Linked DNA regions of Drosophila melanogaster. The protein of the gene in region 3 interacts with the protein of the main gene of each other region in a pairwise test. Each region holds a gene or a part of one and is shown on either strand. Other genes may lie near its edges. The genes, in order: CG18754, yuri and Rbp6.

Evidence for each region.
Region 1: the proteins of Rbp6 (region 3) and CG18754 interact in a two-hybrid assay, tested with the Drosophila melanogaster proteins (one large-scale study listed by BioGRID).
Region 2: the proteins of Rbp6 (region 3) and yuri interact in a two-hybrid assay, tested with the Drosophila melanogaster proteins (one large-scale study listed by BioGRID).

Annotation. Positions count from the first base shown.
Region 1 is NT_033777.3:23,681,566-23,688,088, forward strand, and holds CG18754 (uncharacterized protein), read left to right. Parts: upstream 1-2,491; coding exon 2,492-2,564; intron 2,565-2,782; exon of another isoform or gene 2,783-2,818; coding exon 2,819-3,140; intron 3,141-3,615; coding exon 3,616-3,849; intron 3,850-3,914; coding exon 3,915-4,311; 3' UTR 4,312-4,720; coding exon of another isoform or gene 4,721-4,796; 3' UTR 4,797-4,972; downstream 4,973-6,523. Other genes in the region: eIF3d1 (eukaryotic translation initiation factor 3 subunit d1), read left to right, coding at 21-575; CG16710 (uncharacterized protein), read left to right, coding at 938-1,013, 1,205-1,817, 1,890-2,319; SPE (Spatzle-Processing enzyme), read left to right, coding at 4,721-4,796, 5,147-5,539, 5,756-6,065, 6,126-6,523.
Region 2 is NT_033779.5:15,258,056-15,267,442, forward strand, and holds the start of yuri (yuri gagarin), read right to left. Parts: upstream 6,173-9,387; 5' UTR 6,072-6,172; coding exon 5,715-6,071; intron 5,610-5,714; coding exon 5,277-5,609; coding exon of another isoform or gene 5,184-5,276; exon of another isoform or gene 5,112-5,183; intron 5,074-5,111; coding exon 4,915-5,073; intron 4,748-4,914; exon of another isoform or gene 4,572-4,747; coding exon 4,320-4,571; intron 4,250-4,319; coding exon 4,015-4,249; intron 3,958-4,014; coding exon 3,857-3,957; intron 3,786-3,856; coding exon 3,663-3,785; intron 3,583-3,662; coding exon of another isoform or gene 3,406-3,582; exon of another isoform or gene 3,154-3,405; intron 1,689-3,153; exon of another isoform or gene 1,299-1,688; coding exon of another isoform or gene 1,296-1,298; intron 1,237-1,295; coding exon of another isoform or gene 964-1,236; intron 884-963; coding exon 727-883; intron 655-726; coding exon 449-654; intron 387-448; coding exon 118-386; intron 51-117; coding exon 1-50. Other genes in the region: Cul3 (cullin 3), read right to left, coding at 8,319-8,471, 8,541-8,679, 8,741-8,964, 9,090-9,232, 9,298-9,387.
Region 3 is NT_037436.4:17,234,528-17,240,860, forward strand, and holds the start of Rbp6 (RNA-binding protein 6), read right to left. Parts: upstream 3,686-6,333; 5' UTR 3,305-3,685; intron 1,536-3,304; 5' UTR 911-1,535; coding exon 825-910; intron 1-824. Other genes in the region: Afg3l2 (AFG3 like matrix AAA peptidase subunit 2), read right to left, coding at 4,584-6,081, 6,136-6,333. UniProt on the Drosophila melanogaster protein: RNA binding protein that regulates the expression of target mRNAs at the translation level. May play a role in the proliferation and maintenance of stem cells in the central nervous system.

The DNA.
Region 1 (6,523 bases), on a different chromosome or scaffold from region 3:
CTATTGTCTTATACTTTTAGGTCCTGGTAGCGCGTTGCGAGCACGATGGTGTCCTGCAGACGCCAAGCGGCGAGCCGCAGTTCATGACTATCAAGGCACTCAACGAGTGGGACTCGAAGTTGGCCAATGGCGTGGAATGGCGTCAAAAGTTGGACACGCAGCGCGGTGCTGTGCTCGCCAACGAGCTGAGGAACAACGCATGCAAGCTGGCCAAGTGGACTGTGCAGGCCGTCCTGGCCGGGTCCGATCAGCTAAAGCTCGGCTATGTGTCGCGTATCAATCCGAGAGATCACTCGCGTCACGTCATCCTCGGCACGCAGCAGTTCAAGCCGCATGAATTTGCCACTCAGATCAACCTGAGCATGGACAACGCCTGGGGAATCCTGAGATGCATCATCGATCTGGTGATGAAGCAGAAGGATGGCAAATACCTGATCATGAAGGACCCCAACAAGCCGATCATCCGTCTGTACGACATCCCAGACAATACTTTCGACTCCGATGACTCGGACGATGGCGAGGGCGATGACGAAGGTTTCCAGCAGGTCTACAACTACGCGCACAACAAGATTTAGACGCCACGCCCCCCTACTCCTGCATCCCTTCCAGTCTTGGGCTCTTTTGCCACAACCCGCTAAGAATAACCACAACTGATGTCCTCTAAAGGAAAAGGTCATGTTATAGGCCCTAGCTTAAGCATTTGTATTCGATTTAAATTCAGATATTTCCTAGTAAATCACAGAGGGCGAAACAATACATGAATTTTTATTGGTCCAGGTCTAATGCCGGGTACTTGTGATAAAAACTTTCGACTGAAACACCGAGGTCTTGTACGTAAATGACTGACTCATTTCCCGGACTCATATATAGTAAGCTGATTGTGCGTGTCGGGCATCTAGTTAAGATTTAGACATTGTTTAAACTCTGACGGTTAAAGATGGTCTTCCTACAAAGAGTGTACATATCCTTCCTGGTCCTGCATACTCAATTGCTGATGTACCTGGCTGAGTCTGGTAATATATGTTGCAAGTACTCCACATTGTATACGTTATAACATTCAAGAAAATGATTCATTTGGATATGGGTATTTCCTTGAATTTTAAAATATAAATAGCTTTGTTTCGTCCAATCATTATCTAAACATCCAATTAAAATGACTCACATAATATAATATTTATTAATATCCAATTCTTTACTGTATCAGAATATCCGCCTTGTAATCTGGATGAGAAATGCATTAGTCTAGCCCGCTGCACATCACTCTTGCCCTTTCTGAAGCCCCACAACATGACGCCAGCCGAGAAGGCGGTATTCGAGGACAGATATTGCGGCTATGGCCCCAAGGGGCAGGAATTATTGGACAGAGTTCTCATCTGCTGCCCAAATATGGGACACATTTTGCCAAATACCCAGATATGTGGACCAATCATGCCGGCTTATCGAATTTTCGGAGGAGAGGAGACGCAACCCAACGAGTTGCCTTGGATGGCCCTGATTCTATATGCGCATCGCAGCCGTTCGGTGTGGAATGAAAGACTCGTGTCCAGGTGCGCTGGATCCCTGATCACAAACCGCTATGTGCTGACCGCAGCCCATTGTCTGAGGATAACGGGATTGGATCTCAGGAGGGTGCGCCTTGGCGAGCATAACATTTTAAGCAATCCCGACTGCGTCACCCATATTAATGGTAGGGAACACTGCGCTCCAGAGCATCTGGAAATTGACGTCGATCTGAGTATCAAGCATAGGCACTACATGGTCTTCGAGGAAAGGCCCTACAACGACATCGCCCTGCTGCGATTGAAGTTTCCAGTACGGTTAGTTGCACTTGACCTGTCATATCTTTTACTACATATATATATATATATATACATTTCATATGTCTTTAGCTATACCGCTCAAATCAAACCCATCTGTGTTCAACTTGACTATATCTTCTCGAATCCGTCCTTCAGCAACCATAAGTTGCAAATAGCTGGCTGGGGACTCTCTCATAAGCAGGGCTATAGCAATGTGCTGCTACAGGCCTATGTCAATGGCAGGAACGCGGACGAGTGCTCATTGAGTGAACCATCCTTGGGATTGGACAAGGAGACCCACATATGCGCCGGCAACCTGGGAGGCAATGACACATGCAAGGGCGATTCCGGCGGTCCGCTGATGGCCATCATGGAACGTGGTGACGAGGAATTCGTATATCTAGCCGGAATCACATCCTACGGGTACAGTCAGTGCGGATACGGACCAGCAGCTTACACAAAGACATCCAAATTCGTTGAATGGATTCTATGGAACATGTACACTAATATATTCCAATGAAATAATCAAAATAGTAGAATTTGGTTAAGAAAAGAAATATTTATTGTCCGGCACTGAGCCCAAATTATCGCAAAAATAAATTAGGAAATTTCATTGAGTCATTGGGATTTATGAGTTTGTTGATCCATTTTATTCTGTATATTTAGTGTCAGATCGAGTTTGGATGTCTAGCATGTCGGACAGACGTAAAGTTTATATTTTGGTCCTTCTCCAGGCCATTTTCTTCAACCAATTGGCTGAGTGTGGTAAGCAAAAGCAATGATTTTTAAGTTTTCGTAAAAAACCGAAGATGTTATATCTTGCTCAATAATATCCTTGCAGAGGATGTGTGCTGTGAATAGGTCACGTTCGACCCCATGAATTATAAAAATTATCATATCCATCGATCCGTTTTATTATAAATCATATTCAAAAATAATAATAATAATAATATTTCCACATAGACTCGTACTGCTATACTTTATCGGGGCTTTCACTTATCTATTTTTGTAATTTATAGTTCGGTTATCAAGCTGCCAAAAGGATGAGAAATGCACCAGACTGGTTAGCTGCTCGCCGCTTATGAACATCCTTAGGCCCCGGGGCATGACCCAGGCGGAGAAAGATGTGTTTGCACACAGGCAGTGTGGCCTGGACCCCAATGGACACGAGTTGTTGCACATGGTTTATGTCTGCTGCCCAGAGTTGGGTGACGTCTTGCCCAACAAACAGACCTGTGGACAAACGACGCCCGTGTTCCGAGATCGGGGTGCCGAGAATGCAGAGCTTAATGAGTACCCTTGGATGGTATTGCTGTTATATGAGAATCGGCTATCCTTGATGTGGAATCAACGAACTGGTTGTGCGGGCTCACTGATCAACAGTCGCTGTTCACACATGAACACGAATATATTTAAAGACTTACAATTTTGGGCTCCGTTCATATCTTATGTAAATGAATCGAGAGCGATAAATTATATTTAGGATTTTGTTATCTAAGGCGACATGGGTGCATTGCTCAAAAACATGTAATTTAAGTGCACACTACATGAGTCAGTCACTTGAGATCTTTCCCCGCCTCCTAAAATAGTCCCTTAGTGGGAGACCACAGATAAGGTCCTCGCCGCTCAAGATAGGCAGATGTGCCCGAGCGTGGGACCTCGATAAGGCGGGGACTATTTACTTAGGCCTCTGCGTAGGCCATTTACTTTAAGATGCGATTCTCATGTCACCTATTTAAACCGAAGATATTTCCAAATAAAATTAGTTTCTTACAAAAACTCAACGAGTAAAGTCTTCTCATTTGGGATTTTACAGTCGCTATGTGCTGACCGCTGCCCACTGCGTGATCGGTGGTTACTTGACGCAGAATGACCTGGTTCTGAAGAGTGTGCGCCTGGGCGAGTCCACTACCGACTGCATCACCTCGGAAAGCAGGTGTCCACATTTGGATGTGGAGGTGGGGCAAACAACAGTACATCAGGGTTTCACTTCGAGTGGCGGAACTTACCGCAACGACATCGCCCTCCTCCGATTGCAATTCCCAGTGCGGTGAGTAGCAGTGATCTCCACCCTAATCTCCACATCTTATGGAAATTTCTTTACAAACCCGCTAGATACACGAAAAAGATCCAACCCATTTGTCTATTGGACGCCGAATTTCCCCTACAGGATTTGAATTTGCAAATCTCTGGCTGGGATCCGACTAAAAGCAGTCAAACGTTGATCACCAGCACGGTCAAGGAAAGGAATCCTGCTGATTGCTTGAATAGGTATCCCAGCTTTCGCTCCGCGTCCCAAGTATGCGCCGGTGGTCAACGGAAAGGGGACACCTGTGCGGGCATCTCCGGCAGTCCGGTAATGGGCATCATGGGAAGCGGCGTCGACGAGTTCGTCTTTTTGGCAGGCATTGCCTCATATGGACAACAATATTGCTACTCTGCTGGTATTCCAGGTGTTTACACAAAAATTGGCCACTTTTCGGAGTGGATCAAAGCGAATTTGGCTCCCTAATTTTAATAAAGAATTCATATTTGCAAAATTGGAATAGCATCTGTTCCATTAATCCACTACTATAAAGTAATAGACCTATAAAACCCCAAAAGATAAGAAAAAGCACTGAAGATTGTTTTTTAAAAAACGTGTTGTTCAAAAAACATAACGTGCCGAGAGAAGATTAAGCATAAATAAATTTCTAATAACTACACCGCTGGGTTTGCCCAGCTCAGCAGAACTACTATGTAAATATTAAGGCAGGGAAAGACCACCCTATTCACATAGCTTTTGCCTTTGTTGCAATCTAGATGGTATTGAGTCCGGAGATAACCTCTGCTAATCACGCCCAATGCATCGGGAGAGAATCGGTGACAGCGAAACTGCCGGACAGCTTGGTTAGTATCAGCTTGGAGCCCATAGCGACGAGATGGCTTCTACGGAACGGAATTTTCTGCTACTGTCACTGGTGGTCAGCGCATTATCCGGCTTGGTCCATCGATCAGGTGGGTAAGCTGTCCTTTGGGCAAACAATATCCACAGCAACTGGATGCAATGGTGCTTCTTTCAAAAGTATATAGTTCTATATATATAGTATAGTATAGTATATAGTTTGAATAAAGCTAGAAAAACTAAGCACTTGACCTTGTTGATTGTGAGAATAAAAACCATAACAACTAATAATCAAAGAGTTTTTGAAAACTTCAAATATATTAAATATCAACATATAGTTTCCCGGACTAAGAAATTTTATGAGAAATATTAGACATGAAGTCCATTAGTAGAATGGATTGCCTTTAATGGATTGGTTCAGAACCGGTTAGACTGCATCGTAAATCGCGCTCTTCTCTTCCAGACGCAGCGGAGATCAGCTTTGGCAGTTGTACGCCCCAGCAGAGCGATGAGCGCGGCCAGTGCGTTCACATCACCAGCTGCCCCTACCTGGCCAACCTGCTGATGGTGGAGCCAAAGACTCCCGCCCAGCGAATCCTTCTCTCCAAGAGCCAGTGTGGCCTGGACAACAGGGTTGAGGGCTTGGTGAATCGAATCCTGGTCTGCTGTCCGCAGAGCATGCGGGGCAATATCATGGACTCGGAACCAACTCCTTCGACGAGGGATGCACTGCAGCAGGGGGATGTGCTGCCTGGAAATGACGTCTGCGGCTTCCTTTTCGCTGATCGCATTTTCGGGGGCACCAATACGACCCTCTGGGAATTCCCATGGATGGTATTGCTGCAGTACAAAAAACGTGAGTAGATTACCTACCCAGGCTCTATTTTAATCTCTTATAGGAAGGTTGTTTCACGAGGTCACCTGTAATCATTTTTTAATCACTTTTTCAAATCAAATTCTCCAATGGGGGGATCATCATTATAAGAAAACGCATATTCAATATATACAAGGCTATTATTAGTATCTAATCAATTTATAATATGTACTTGGGAAACGCTCTTTATCCTTTCAGTTTTTTCTGAAACCTACACTTTCAACTGCGGCGGTGCATTGCTCAACTCGCGCTACGTCCTGACCGCTGGACACTGCCTGGCCAGCCGAGAACTGGACAAATCCGGTGCCGTTCTACACAGCGTTCGCCTGGGGGAGTGGGACACTCGTACCGATCCTGACTGCACCACCCAGATGAACGGACAGCGCATCTGTGCACCGAAACACATCGACATTGAGGTCGAGAAGGGCATCATCCACGAGATGTATGCTCCCAATTCCGTTGATCAGCGTAATGACATTGCGTTGGTGCGCCTTAAGAGGATTGTTAGGTATGTGGTCCAGAGATCCCTCAATTATTCCACTGACTTGCTTTTTTGTTTTTGCCACAGCTACACCGACTACGTGCGTCCAATATGCCTTCCCACGGATGGTTTAGTCCAAAACAACTTTGTGGACTACGGCATGGATGTGGCCGGCTGGGGACTTACCGAGAACATGCAGCCAAGTGCGATCAAGCTGAAGATCACCGTCAACGTTTGGAACCTAACGAGTTGTCAGGAAAAGTACTCCAGCTTCAAGGTGAAACTGGACGATTCTCAGATGTGTGCCGGCGGCCAGTTGGGCGTGGATACATGCGGTGGCGATTCCGGCGGTCCCCTTATGGTGCCTATATCCACGGGCGGCCGGGATGTCTTCTACATTGCCGGCGTCACCTCCTACGGGACGAAGCCCTGCGGCCTCAAGGGATGGCCCGGCGTCTATACCCGCACGGGGGCTTTCATCGATT
Region 2 (9,387 bases), on a different chromosome or scaffold from region 3:
GAAAGGAGTCGATAATCTGTTCCTGCTGCTGGTTAACTTCGGTCTGTTGACTGGCGGGAAGAGAGAACATGGCAGCTGCTCTTATATGGATGCACTCTATCCTGGAAAATTACCTACTTTAGGCGGATCTGCATTTGCTGGCAATTTTCCGAAATGGTGCGCAACTCCTCCCGCAGAGATTCAGTTGTCTCGTTCATCCGCTGGATACTTTCGCGATGCCGGATGTCATCCAGCTGCAGATGGCTCTGCATTTTCCGAACAAGAGTGCGCATCTTTTCCATCTCCAACTGGGCACTCTTTTGTTGATCTTGAAGTGCCCGCTCTCGGCCCGAGGACACAGCCTCCTTCTCCTTCAAAGCGACCACCTCCTCTCGCAAGATTTTGCGCTGAAATTCATAATACCTCAGTTTTCTTTGTGCCCAAGGACGACAATAGTCGGATACGCCACCTCTGTTCTCAGCTCATCCTGCAGCTGCTCCACCTGATCCAGTCGCGTTTGCAGGCTCTGCGCTTTCCTCTTGGCGTCCTTGAGCTCCTGGCACTGATCCTCGAAGCTGGCCATCAGGCTTTCGTACTTCGTGCAGAGTTCCACGCTTTGATTTTCTTGGTTTTTCAGCAGGGAAGGGAGGTCTCGCAGTTGGCGGGATAGATCACCTGATAGTATACATATATATATATATATATATAGAAAGAGCTTTTAATTGAAAATTATAAGTTTTCTCTCACAATTCTTCTGTTTGAGGACATGCATCTCTTCTTTGAGCCGATTGTTCTCGCTGAAATCGGAGTAGCTATTGATCATGGACTGCAGCTGGCTAATCTGGTTATCTCGATCCTTTAGATTTTCCTGCAGTCCCTTGATTTGGCAGGAAAGTTGTCCGTTCTGGTGGGGAAAAAAGTGGGCGAGAAATCAGAGAAACGATTAGGAGCAATTTGGTAAATGTGTGCTTTAGTGGATCCAACTTGTATCTCCAGTTCACAGTTGATCCGTGACTGATCGACGAAATGGAGCTCGGGCTCTGGGCAGGATTGGCTGGCTAGTGAGCTCTGCTGCAGCTGCTGCTGCTGCTGCTCCACCTGTTCGGTCAGCTCCTCGAGATCCCTTTTGAACTCATCGATGATGCTGAGGTAATTATCCCGGGTGGCCTGCAGTAGATCCGACTCGGTCTGGCAGTGGAGCAGCGTGTGCTCCAACTGCTGGCGGTGGGGGCAATCGGTGGAGCTGTTGCCTGTGTTCTACAAATTCAAATTGAGTTGTGGCTCACTTGGTTGGTACCGCTATTCTCGAGGCTTACCATGGCCACTCGGAAATCGGTAACTAATTGCCTGCAAATCCGCGCACGAAATCACCTGTCAGTTGTCAATTGTCGATTGCAGATACGCGGATGTACATATCTATGTGTTTAAATCGTTTTCGGTGTCGAATGCCTAGAAATGGAGCCTTCGTGCCGCCGAGCTTGCAAATATATCTCGCAAATATGACCCCCAGACGAATTTTGGCTTCATTACCGTTTCATTTCATTTCAATAATATTGCTATTAAAAGTTTGTCACGAAAATAAAACCAATTCGAAACGTAGGAGGTGGCAAGGTTTCGGGTTTCCGGTTTCAAAGTTTCGCTTCTTTGGCACTTTGGCAACACACAAGTTTGTTGGGTGCTTGAAGGGGTGGGGGGTGAAGGATGGTTGAGTGGGGGGGGGGGGGGTGACTTCCCCTAGTTTTATAGATATTATTATTTGCGCGGCCCGACTGTTTGACACGATTTGAAAATAAAGTTAGTTGCAGCGGGTGGCAGCGAATAGTATTATATCGTCTGTCTATTTCTTGGATACGATAGATATATGGATATTTATGAATGATGAGTGGAGGGGAGTTGGGCGAGCGTGGCTCGGCGCACTTAAAACACTTTTAAAGGCATATTATATTGCAGTGGGTGGGGCGGGGGGTTAGTACTACGAAATTGATAGCTCAGGCTCGGGGAAATGTGAAAATCGATTGGGACGGGGGCAATGAATTCTTATGATTCCTTGTCTGTCATTAAACCCATTAGCGGAGCCCAACAATTCGCTTTTCCATCGGCTCCATTTGCACATTTACGGTTCGCAGCACCAACTTTCTTCACTGCACTTCGCGTCCCTCTTTGCGAAAGCACTCGAAAACAATTTGCACTTTTGGCCAACTTTCTCCTTTCTAATTGCCCGATTTTCCTTTCGTTTTTCGCGCCGAAAAGATAATCAAATCGACGGAGCGCGACTTAGGCGACTAATTACGCCTCGTAAATTGGCTGGCGAGGATTTGGCGCGTTATTCCTGGCGCTTCCTTGATTCGCTTCACGCGACTAAACGGCCAAATCCGCCGACGGATGACAGGATTCTGAAGCGAACTGCTCCCCTGCTGGGGCTTCCTGCCGAGTTGTGTTTGATTTTGCGCCCGACAGTTTCGCCAAAGAGATGATGGCGTGAGGGGTGACGACTTTGTTTATTGTTCACACCTCGGGAATTAGTCATATCTAAATAAACATTTATTTAGGTAATTACTAAATATTTGTATTTGCACTGAGCTCAATTTAAGTTGGTTCGGTATTATGAATTACTTAGTGCATACGATCGAGATCGATGTAAATGGTCGTGGTCCTTGCAGTCACGCGGATCACGAGCAGTCCTAGTCAGTGAAGTCCCAATCCCGGCGGCACTCATCAATATGCATATCACTGCTCGCCGGAATCGCGTGTCGATTGTGGGTAAATAAATAACACGAAACCTATTTCCGATTCGCCAGCTCCACTGGCTGGAGGGCAGAAGGTGCTCCCCCCTCAGGGGCAATTGCAGTTGAACATACAGCCGAGTTTCCACAATAAACACATTGGCGAACGATTTGTATTTGTCGTATGTAGACATTTGCCCGGCGGGATGAGTGAAGTGGATCTCTTTCTTTTGTGTCTGGGCCCAATATATATATATTCATATATATATATATATGGGTAAATAAATCGGGGACTCGAATGGCAACAGTAGTTCTTTTGTCAATCCAGCCAGGATTTACCGAGTATATACTGTACCGAGTATATATGTGAAGGCGAATGTCGTTTACCACATAAGAAGAAAGTTCTATGTGCTGAAACGTAAATCGGAAATGTATTTCAAGCTCATAATTTGGTTGGGATATGAAAGAAACTTTATTTAAAACTAGTTCATTTCATTAAAACTATTCATTTCAGCAATCTGTGATTCTAGTTTCTGTTTAACCATATATAGATAGATATAGATTTGAGTGGAGTTGAGTTTTCGTGGCGAACAATCGCGATGATAAATAACTTAAGAACGACAAACTTTAAGCTAAACTATACAAACTTCTTAACGTGGCTTAGATTAGACTAACTGTTTAGGAGGCCCAACAAGTGACATAGTTACTTGGAGGTCCTAAACGTTGTAGTTGTGTTTTTCGTTGGTATAGTTTTAGTTGTCGTTGGCTTGTTTGAAGGTTTAGGTGTTGGTTGTTGTTTGTTTGTTTTTGCCGTGGCTCCCGGGATTTTGGTGGTTTTGGTTGGCTTCCTTGTTTGGGAAGGTGTTTTCGTATCGCATTCCTGCATTTGATATGACAACCGGGGTTATTGGAATCGGCTATTGGTTATTTGCGATGCAATCAAAGCCGTCAGATACTCACAATTTCCACTTGATTTTGCTCCTGCTCGAATTTCCGTGCAAACATATCCGCAATGGTCGTACAAAATGGATTTTCTTTCGAGGATTCGTCGTAGATTTCGTTGTAGGAGAACTCCTTGGAACCCTGAAATGATGCACATATTTTTAATATGCATTTCCTGCAATCCTGCAGAATAGAGAAGAGTCTTAACTCACCAACGAGCAGATGAGTTCGGCGATCTCCCTTAGAACATCGCTATTTCTTTGAAGAACGCTGCTTTCCGATTCAATCCTCGCCTCCAGCTCTGAAATTTTGACTTTTTGCAAATAGGGAAATAGTTATAGCAAAAGTATCGAGAATCGGATATACCCACTTTTCGACTCGGTGTCCAGGCGCTGGTACTTTCCGTGCAGTTCTCGATTAAGTTGGCTAAGGTTGAGCAGGCGTCTACGTAGAGCTTCCAGCATCTGAGCATCCGCGTCCAGATCACAGGGCCCTGATTCGGGATCAACGGAGATTAGGCAGGATTGATCGAGGTCTGACTGAAGGATTGTCAGATGACTACGAATGCTCTCGAGTTTTTTCAGAGTGTCCTCACGCTCGGATACCTTTGATTAAGAAGGGTGTAATTAATGAGGATATGCTAAAGCTCAGAAATATGTAAGTCGAATCCCTCACCAGTTTTTCGATAAAGCAGGACACACGTTTTCGCCGAATCTCAATGGTCTGGAACTCCTGTTTGTTGTGCAGATCGAGAAGATCATTGAGCTCCGCGTTTAGCAGCCGCAGCATTTCGCTCTCCTGGGTGTCGTGGATCGAGAGATTCTCGAGCATATCGCTTGTAATCGCGTCCGCGGTCAGTGTATCGTTGGGCGATTCCTCCATTTTGGCCTGATCTCTGGACTCAATGCACCGGGTGATCTCGTGCAGCTGTTTTCACGGTATTTGGAATGTTAAAAAAAAGCTAGTTAGAAAGTTTCGATGTGCTTTTTGATTGAATACACTGAAAATTTTACCAAGAAATTCGGTATTTCACTAAAAAGATACTCGATTAGGTTTTCGATTGTACGCTTAAGCAGCCGATTAAGCGATAAGAAAAGTATTCCAATGAATCTATAATTAAACTGAGCTCAATAATGAGTAACGTCACCTGACGACGATGATGTTTTTGTTTTTTGTTTTTAAAACAACGAATTGAATAAATTCCTTCCATAAGCACACAATGCACATATGCAGATTTCTGGTTGAGTAATGCCACAATAGGATATCTCACCTGTTGATTGAGCTGTGCTATGCACTGATCCTTCAAAAGTAACTTCTGCCTGGCCGTGTGTACAACCTCGTCCAAGGCATTGATCTGTGACTTCAGTTCGCCGATCTCGTCATGCTTGGCGGCTATCTCGCCGACTAAGGACTTCATGCTCTCGGACATCTGCGAACAAAGTTAAACGCCAATCAAAGCCAAGCATTAAATATCGATGAACAAAATATCAAATTTTATTAAGAGCAGCACAAAATATACGTATTTAGTTAGCGAGACAATCATTTAGAGTTCTCGCGCTTGTGGGACGACTTCGGGTCCCACTTGACATTGGAATCACCGCCGCCTTTTCCCTTCAAGGATCTATGGCCTACCTTCTCGCTCTCGCATTCCGCGTGGGCGGGATCCTTTCCCACGCCCCGCAATTGATTAACGGTCAGTGTCTCTAGGGAAATGCCATTGAAATCAAAGTCGGTGCAGTGAGGAGAATGCTGCACGCGTTCTATGATCGCACAAATGTCCTCACGCAGCCTACGATTCTCCTCGAGGGTATGCTGTTGTCGCACTTGGACAGACTGACAGCAGGCAACGATCTTGCTGTACGCCTCCTTCTCCAAGTCCGACACGTTGCCCAGGATCACGCTGTTCACGTGGAGCAGGAAATCCACCCACTCCTGAAAAGTGACCAGACGCAACTGGCAAGTGTGCTAAAAGGGTATGAAAATGGGTCATATAAAATAATTTATCTCAAGGGGGATTTTGCTAGGAATTAGTTTCAATGGATACCATCCTTGATTTACAACGAATCTCACCATGTCATCACCCTCGTGCTCATCTAGGCAGTCAATCTCGTCCAGCCGCTTCAGAAATATGCTGTTCAGCTCAAAGCTCATATCGCCAGCATCGCCGTTGGTATCCCGCAGCTTCTGGATCAGACAGCGGTAATGTTCGGTGGACATCGCCTCGGTGCTGGCAGTGCACCGATCAGGAGATGAGGCTTTTAGCGTCGATTCTTGATGTGGATGCGAGGCACTCGTTCCGGTTGGCTGCACTTGCCGACACATTTGACTGGCAGATGATGGTGGTGGCGGTGGCGATGATGCAGGTCTCGACGGATTCAGACCCATGGACTTGGCGTCTAGGACGAAACCGGCTTGGCGACTGGCCATGATATCAATTCAAAATGTAATTACCACGTTCTTCTTACTAAGAGCTGATTTAGTCGGCCAGGGAATAGCTTGTGTAATTAGACATGAGTATGACTTTAAGGTTTCTACATCGAAACGTTCACTTCGAAAGCGGCAATCTCAAGGCACTGCTGATCGGAAAGATCGAATGCAGTTCTCCTCGCCTTCAACTGCACGCAAATCGCAAATCACAAATCACTCACGAAAGTACAAAAATCACAACAAAAAACACTTGTAAAGTTGTAAGCTTATTAAAAACAACACAAAAATGGGCGGAAAAAAAAATAAAAAATAGAGAAAATATATCTGATTCGAACCTTGGCGGCGACGTCAAGAGCAGCTCAGCGCGCTGCGTTCATATCTTTTGTTTGCAGTCTTCTGACGTAGCAATGTAGTTTTGTTTATTTATATTTTTCTTGTTTTTGAGCTACACACACGCGTATTAAGTATACGGTTTCAGCATGTTGTTGTTTTTATTTCTTGCCACGATCCAAATACCGCGCGTTTCGTCTGCGCTCCGTTCGCGATCGCCAACGAAACCGAACTGAGCGCTCCGCTCCACACACTCGCTCCCCACCACCACCGGCCAAGAGCGGCTCTCTAGAGAGTTGAAAAACTCGACGGACTCTCAGCGCTTATCAGTGCGTCGGGGAATCGAATTGGATCGCTGCGTGTGTTTACCCAAGAACTTAGCATTCTGAATTTCTGGCCGGGCTCACGATATACATATGTATGTATGTATCTTACACAATATGCGAAAGTCATCGCTGTTTGCCCAAGTTGCGGTTTCGGGGTTCTGCCAATTTCGTATAATTGTTAACTCATCCGGTGTATATTTGCCCATGGATAAGTTTGTTTGGTCGCATTGATAACTCCGATATGGTCGTTCAACGCGGTTACACAATAGCTGGAAAAAAGCTGCAAAAACCATGAATTTTAAAGATTAAGAACTAAAAAATTTCGAATGATTCAGAGAATGATTATGCCAATCCTTAAGTCTTATTGCCCATCCCAAATTTTACACGATTAGCACAATATGTTGGGCACCAATTGAAAACAGTAGATTTTTTGCAGATTTAAATTGTTACCAAGTTCGTTTTATTGTACAGGCGAATAAAAGCATTTCATTGAAAATATTTTAAAATCCTTTTAAAAGATAGACAACAACTGTGTTAACGCTCATTATACGTTTTATTTATATCGATTTCTCTTTTATGTAAGAACAAAATTTATTTACAGTGTTTAGATCGCGTTTGCTTGCTTCCGTTTTCGTGCTTTCGGTTCGGCGTTAAATTGTTTTTCAAAATCAATTCTATGTGTGTCCTACTTAACTCAAATCCATTACAGAAGTGTTGCCTACATATGCCTGGAATCGATTCCCACATATCAACTAATAGATAAAACAACTTTTTCGTACAGATTATCATAATCACTTCACGTTGCTTTGGGCGTACACAAAAAATGAAGATAGAGGAATATGAATAGTCATTGCAATCCTTACGTTCTGTTCACACGCATCTCAAAACGTGGGATGAATGTTTTTATTTGGATTGAAACAGACGACGTATAAATGTACATCAAACGCTCTCTAAAATTCATAATTCATTTATAAATTTATTACTTTAGCTATATTTATAGTTATTAATATTTTCTTGCTTATATTTCTGTTGTTGCTTCTTTACCTTTTTACTCAGCTGCTTACAATTAGGGGCTGCATTATGCATTATTTCTCTTATCTTGCTTTGCGTACGATTCTTGTGGGTGGATGTGGTGTGTGTGGTTGTGGCTCTGAATGGGGTGGTGGTGGAGCAGGTGTGTATGTGGTTGTTTGGGCTTACTGCTATACACTTGTTATGCGCAAAGAAATGACCATAAACAGTAATTAGAGAATATCAAGAAATATATTAGAGGGATAATAATTATGGTGGTGCCTTATCCAATAGCATTTTTAACTGTTGAATTTTGAATGTCAGGCTTACAAAATGGGTTGCGAAACGAAATTTTACGATTCGGGGCGCACTAATTGATATATTTATGTATTCGGGTTATTGGCTGGCGGTCATCTATAATCGTGGTCAGTATCCGCCATATCAATGCCGCTCGTATGCTCAGGCCATTCCGTCCGAGCTGCAGATTGTGTTTTTCAGTTAGTGTGCAAGCCCTGGCGATTTGAAGATGAGTGTGTTCCGGATCCTGCTTAAGACGCTCCTGCTACTTTTTGTGGGCCGCTTAGGCCAAGTAGTTGTACACTTTGCGATCTTCCGGCGATCGTTGCAGATACTCGCGCTCGATTAGGCCCTCAATGCGCTTTTTGATAAACACGGGCGAGGGCAAGAAACGCGACTTTAGCTGCGACGTCACATCTGATACTAGCAAGTTGTGCTAAGAAAATAAAAACAGGAATCATGGTTAAATCACAATCCAACCAGATAGCAAACGTATAATACTTACAGCCAGACGCTTGCGGGCCTTCATTATGCGCACAATAGCCGCTTCGATCTCGTGCTTACGATCCTCGTCGACCTTTCCGCGCGTTTCCTTACGCTCTGGCTCTGATTCTCCCTTGGCGGCTACCGTTTGTATCTTCACCCTAAAATAGTTTCGATATTATTACCAGGCGCCGTTCTTTCGCACTGAAAGTAATATCTAACCTGTGGAACTTGGAGTTGAAGGCGTCGTTTACGTAAAACTCATCCGTGGGCTCAATGTCCTTAGTTTTCGTTTTAGAATTGCGTACTAACAAACGCTGAGCGGGTTTGCCCATGGACAACGATTGTAGTGCTCGGACGAGCTCCCGTTCCGGTATATCGGTCTCCTGGTGTATGTCATCGTAGGTGAGCACGTCGCGGTTATTAAACAGCAGTAGCACACACATCTAATTTTGGATTATGAAATACATGTTAAATGTTTAGTTAAATATTTTTTTCAGATCAATGAAATAAAGCTGCTTCTGCTAAATAAAATTCGGAGGTGTACGAACTAAAAGATATTTTAGCTTACCTGGTACGTGGACACTTGCAATATGTGCTTGCGTGTGGTGGTGGGCACCCCACAGCCGCTTGAACTGGAGCTGGGTGCATCTTTATCCTTTTCACTTTCAACTGCCTTGCGGCCATAAAACACAGCGTTGATATAGGCGGTTCCTATTCGAAGGGGAAGGCATAAATACAGTAGTTGCTTAAAAAAGAAGATCATTTAAGTAGCTAACCCATTTGTGGCTGTAACGTCAATTGACGTCCTGAGTGCTTATTTAGATAGAAGTTCTTGAAAATGTCAAAGGCTTCACGCGGAGCGGCGG
Region 3 (6,333 bases):
TGCTAGTCCGACTTTCTGACAGCCAAACTGCACCCCCGACCACCAAGGAGACTACTGCAAACCGATGCAAATTATCAGCAATGCAGCTCGCAATTAATCTACTGCATATGACACCGCAATCACAACTTAACCCATTTTGGCACAAGTATAAATTTTGAATGAGGGGCTGGGAAGCTGGAAGCTGGGGAATCGGACTGATAATAAACTGTTGCCGGAAGGATGAAAGCGAGTCGAGGGCAGCAACTGCATTGCACTAAAGCACTAAGCCGAATGGCTTTAATTGAATTTTGATGTCCTTGGCAAATTGTTTTCTAATTAGTTTCGCAGACTTGGATCCCCAGCTGGGCCATCGTCCATTTCTGGCCGCTTTCGGCCAGTTCCGGACCCAGTTGACATAGAAAACTTTCTGTCAACAACTATAACTGCCTTGACACCGCTCCCCAGGACACGCTCCATTCGCTTCCGGCGCCCTGCGCTTCAATAATGACAAACTTAAAACTTAAACAATTAATGCCACGTCCATGACCTCAAACTAAATAAAAAAGTTCTCGTCCAACTCGACAATGCGAAGTTTGAATGCCCTTTTCTCGAAAAATCTAAGTTAGGGTCTTAGGAAAATATATTTTAATTATGATTTACAGAACTGAAATATAAATTTCGCACATCCTTTTAAGGATGGTGATTTTTAGTGCTTGTAGAGCGAAAGTAATATAAATAAATCGAAGTAAATCTTTTTCTTCTCAAGTTGATTAAAATATATTCTCTACTTTCTGAGATACCCTTTCGCTAGGGTATACATGTACATATAAGAGCAGCACACTTACCCGGGATCATTGGGCACCTCCGAGGGGGAACAGGGTCCCAGCTCCACTTGCTGTTGCTGCTGCTGCTGCTCAATCTTGATGTCCATGTTGGGGGTTTTGGCTCGGGATTGAGATTGAGTTGGAGCTGGAGCTGGTGATTGGAGTTTGCAGTTGGGGCTGAGCTGAGCTGATGTGGTCGTCTGGCTGTCTATTCTATAATTGTTGCTCCAACGCCTTCTGTGCGAGCATCGAGATGCGAGGGGAGGTCGAGTGGTTCTGTGCGGCTGAGTGGCTGTGTTACTGGGTGTTATGTGTGGACGGGGGATGCTGCTACTACGAGTTGGCTAACAGAGTGTTCCCTTAATCATTGGCCACGATGGCTGCTAGTTGGCTGTTCGATTGGCTGCCGGATTCCTTGTTTTCCATTTGGCCTGGCTTTGGTTGGCTTTCCCGCTGATTTTCCACGGCTTTTCTCCTGCTCTAGTTATCGTTTTATTTAGCTTGTTAATTATAATTTGGTTACATTGCACACATTGAATCACATTTCTTGGTTGTTTTGGTTGTTTTGGTTGCTTCGTTTTGCAGGCCACTTTTGGTTTGGTTTAAATATTATTGTGTATTTCGTAACTATTATTTCGTTTGTTGTTTAGACTTTAAGTTTTAGAAACGTTGCGTTAACTTTGGTTGTTGGTTTCCCAATTGATTTGAAGGCAACATATTACTGCAAAAGATCTGTTTCGTTGTGTTTGGTGAAAATTAATTAAATTGCAATTTTAAACTTTGCCCAGGGAAACTTTTGAAAATGCAATTTTCCCCTTCACTCGCTCCCCCTCGCCACTCCTCGCTTTCCCACCCATCCGCAGCTGCTGCACCACCCCCACCCACCCCCTAAAATGCAATGATTCGCAACGAACAATCGTAAAATGCAAAAAAGTGCAACCGATGTGGGAGCGATAGAGAGAGAGAGGGAGGAAAACCGTGGAAAAGCCAGGTGAGGAACGGGTGGGAAAAGGGGGGCGGTTAAGTAACGGCTGAGTGACAATTGGGATGCGGTACTAAGACTGTAAAAGATCTTTGTTTGAAATAAATTTGACTCACTTTACACATATGGCATGAGCCATCAAATTAATTTTCTTAGAATAGGCGTCTCATAAAAAATTAAGAAAACTAAATATAAAAGGTTAAAGATCCAAATGTTTTTCAAAAATTATAAGTATACGTGTTTACTTATTGTGAGCTTGTGTAATAATTATAAAATTCCAAATATTTAGTAAAAAGCTCTCTACTAATTTCATAAATTCCCATCGTTGTTAAATAATCTGAACGATTTTTAACATTAAAAAGGTTTTAAGTGACACTTTTTTTTACGCCAGAAACACCTTGGTTTCCCGAACAATTTTTCGGAAATTCAAAAATGCTGGCATCCAAATTTTATAGCTTTGAACTTTTGCTTGTTAAAGCAATTATTTTCCGTTGCTTTCTCTCCGAAATTATTCGCTTTCCTATATTTTGTGTGTGTTCTTTTTTGCATTTTCTGTGCTTAATACGCGCCTTGATTTTTCCCACACCCACAACAGCAGTAAAAGCAACAACAAATAATAGAAAAAGACAGAGATAGATAGATAGGGAGGTGCGAAAGGGCAAGAAGAACATTGCATGCAGTGACTCCCTCAACAAAAATTACAACAACGCCAGCAACAATATAATAACGCGCAGCATGCAAGCTTTCACGAACAGACACGCACACACACAATCGTACATCAGCACACACACACCCGCACAGGGAACATGCACCGTTACAACGAGAGCAGAAGTTAACTGGCGGCAGCAACAAACACGTGACCCGACAATTGCAATTGCGACAATTGGCAGCACAAAATAAAACAAAATAAACGATAAACTAAAACAGAGCTAAGAGAATCGCCGACAGGGGGCGCTCGATTGATCAGTAATCGAAGTTACCGTTACCGATGTCAGCCATTTTATAAAAGTGATCACAACGAAGATCTCTAATAAAAGGAACGAAAATATTAATCAAATTTAAATTTTATGTAATACACGTGTTTGTTGATTGATTTTACACTAATTGATAAGAGATATTTTGCTTCCTATCTTAAAGCAGAATAAATGCAAATGGCAAAACAAATTTAAATATAATTTTCTTGACAAAATAAATAAACATTAGCATTAAATTCTCCTCCTTGTTCTGTTCATCCTAATGGTCACCATTTGTCATAAATACATAATTTTAATTTTCTAAGAAATCAAACAAGAAGCCTAAAGGAAAGTCTCAGGAAAAATAAAATCCAATAAATCAAACATGAAATCGCTAGGGATTCTCTGCCGCTCTCTTTCTATCGATCAAGTATGGATGTTGCCGTTATTTTGCCGGCCGGCAGCCATTTTGCAGGAAAGATCAACACAAACGCAATGTGTTAGTGAGTGTGAGTGAGAGGGAGGGCGGGGGTGCGAGGGAGAGGTTTGCGCTTTAACTCCTCTACTTCAGCGGTTATTGTAGTTGATTGCAATTAAAATCGAATGCCGCGCACTGTTACTCGTTTTCCCTATTTTTTGTATTTTGTATTTTATATTATATAATCGTCAAATTGCACTCCACACAGCCATCGAGGTAAACAAAATGCAAAATGCCCTCCACAGCAGGGGTTTTCCTTTCGGGCCTCTCGGTTATATTGGTTTGGTATCTTGTACGCGATTTGGTAGTTGTTTTGGTTAAAACGCACGCACTCCCACGAGCGGTACGAACAGCTCTGAAATCGGGCGACTCGAGAGTAATATAGAAACTGCAACGGTTAGTGCAACGCTGGCGTTCCGCTTTTCTCAGTGCGCGCACACGAACGCGACAACCAACAAGACGACACTGAGCGGCGAGACCCCAAAACCCAACTGACGGCCCCAAAACGACCGGCGGCAGCGACGTCGACTGCACTGCTGCACTCTCTGCCTTCGCTGCTGTTGCTGCTGTTGTTGTTGCCGCTGGTGCTGCCCCTACGGAGCTTTGCACCGGCAGAGGCGCCGACTGCGGCAGTTGCACTATTTACCGGCTGCACATGGCGCATGTACTTCAGCATCACAGCTGATAAGTGATAAGCCGCAGCGAGGAAGAGTAGCCGGCGAAAGTTTGCGGAGAAAGCTTACCGAAGAGAGCGGCACTCTCTTAAACCGCGTGCAGCTTTAAAAGCTCACACTGAAAAAAATTTTAACCTGGCACTATCAGTCAACTTAAGAATAAAGCTGGCTATCCCAAAGTTAAGAACAAATTTTGCATTCCAATGTTATCATAACATTTTATTGTATGAAATATACATAATGAAGCAATACATTGTATGTATTTTGCAACTTTTGCTGTTTTCGAAAACGGGTTTAAACCGTAAGGCAGTAACAACACTGATTCGATTATTTTTCGCCTTGATAACATCGTTTAATTTCGCTTTTCCACACTGACAGGTCATTTCCATTCTTTATTGCCATTTTGAAACTACGCATACGGGGAATTTAGTACAGGCTAGCACTTAATTGCTCAACACGGGAACAAGTTATCCATGTGGGTATCTTAAAATTATGCAAAAACAATAATGAACGCGTCGTGGAGAACTGTAACTCCAGAAGGTCTAGGAACTCCTTGAGCCCTGCCTTCTCGATCTGCCACATGTCGGGGTTTTCTCCGGTCCGCGTTTAGGGATTACAACAAAAACAAACAGATGTCGGCACCCTCGAACTACCACACCAAAACTCCCCATCCACATGAGCGAAGATCGTTGCCTAACTGCTCTGGGCAGTTACGGGCTTGGTGGGCGGCGATGATGGCGTGCTGCCAGCGTCCAGAGGCTCCGTTCGTTCCTTTTCCTTGTTCCAGCTCTTGAGGCCTTCGGGCAGAGTGGTGTCCTCCTCGAAGGAGCCGGTACCCTCGACGAACTCCTCGTAGGTTGACTTCTCTTTGAAGGGTCGTGGGCCCAGCAGCTCAATCATATCATCACGGCTGAGCACTTCGTTTTGGAGCAGTCTTTCCGCCACTTTTTGAACATTCTCCTTGTGCTTGGTCAGCAGACTAGTGGTGGCCTCGTGGGCACATTTGATAATCGACCTCACCTCGTTGTCGATCAGCTGCGCTGTGTCCTCCGAGTATGGTTTGCTGAAAACGGGATCACCGGCCTGGCCCACATCGAAGCTGACCTGCCCGACCTTCTCGTTCATGCCGAAACGCACCACCTGGGAGTAGGCAATATCGGTGATCTTCTTTAGATCATCCTGAGCACCAGTGGTAATGCGATTAAAGAACAGCTCTTCGGCCACACGTCCGCCGAGCGTCATGCACATGCGATCGAACAACTGCTCCTTGGACAGCAAGTAGTGATCCTTGGGCAGATACTGGGCGTAGCCCAGACCCTTGCCGCGTGGTATAATCGAGACCTTCAGCAGGGGATCTGCGTGCTCCAGGAACCAACCGGCCACCGCATGGCCAGCCTCGTGGTGTGCCACCGTTCGCTTTTCCTCCGGCGCCAGAACATTGGTCTTCTTCTCCATGCCAGCGATAACACGCTCAATGGCCTGCTCGAAGTGCTTGAGTACGATCGAATCCTTGGAGTCGCGGGCGGCAATCAAAGCAGCTTCGTTGCAAACATTCGCGATGTCAGCGCCTGTGAAGCCTGGTGTCAGTGCAGCCATTTTTCTGCTCAGCTCGTTCTTGTCCAGCGACGTTTTCAGGTTACCCAGATGCACCTTAAAGATGCTCGCCCTGCCCTTAATATCAGGTGCTGGTACATAAATCTGTCGATCGAAACGACCTGGTCGCATGAGAGCCTTGTCCAGAATATCAACACGATTAGTGGCGGCCAGTACGACCACATTCGTAGTGGTATTGAAGCCATCCATTTCCACCAGAAGCTGGTTAAGGGTATTCTCTTGCTCCGAGTGGCCACCGAAGGTCTTGCCACCACGTTTGCGACCCACAGCATCGATTTCGTCGATGAAGAGGATGCAGGGAGCATGCTTTCGGGCCATGGCGAACATGTCGCGGACACGAGAAGGTCCCACGCCCACAAACATCTCGAGGAACTCGGATCCCGACACGGTAATAAACGGTACATTCGCCTCGCCGGCGGTAGCCTTGGCCAGTAGCGTTTTACCCGTTCCGGGTGGGCCAGTTAGCATGGCACCCTTCGGTATCTTGGCGCCTAAATCAATATACTGCTGCGGGTTCTTCAGGAAGTTAACGAACTCCATGATTTCGATTTTGGCCTCCTCGCAACCGGCAACATCCCTGTAAAGAATATAAAAGGTATTAGGTATGTACTGTGAAGTCTCGCCAACTTACTTGAAACCCACACCAATCTCATTGGGATTGGTTAGCTTTGCGGTGGACTGCATGACGCCACCAAAAAGACCACCACCCTTGCGCCCACGGCCTCCACCCATCATATCGGCCGACTTCCGCATCATATAGACCAGAAAGCCTATGATGAGCAACGTGGGCAGCAGACCCGTCAGACTGGCGGCCTCCACCTCGTTGCGG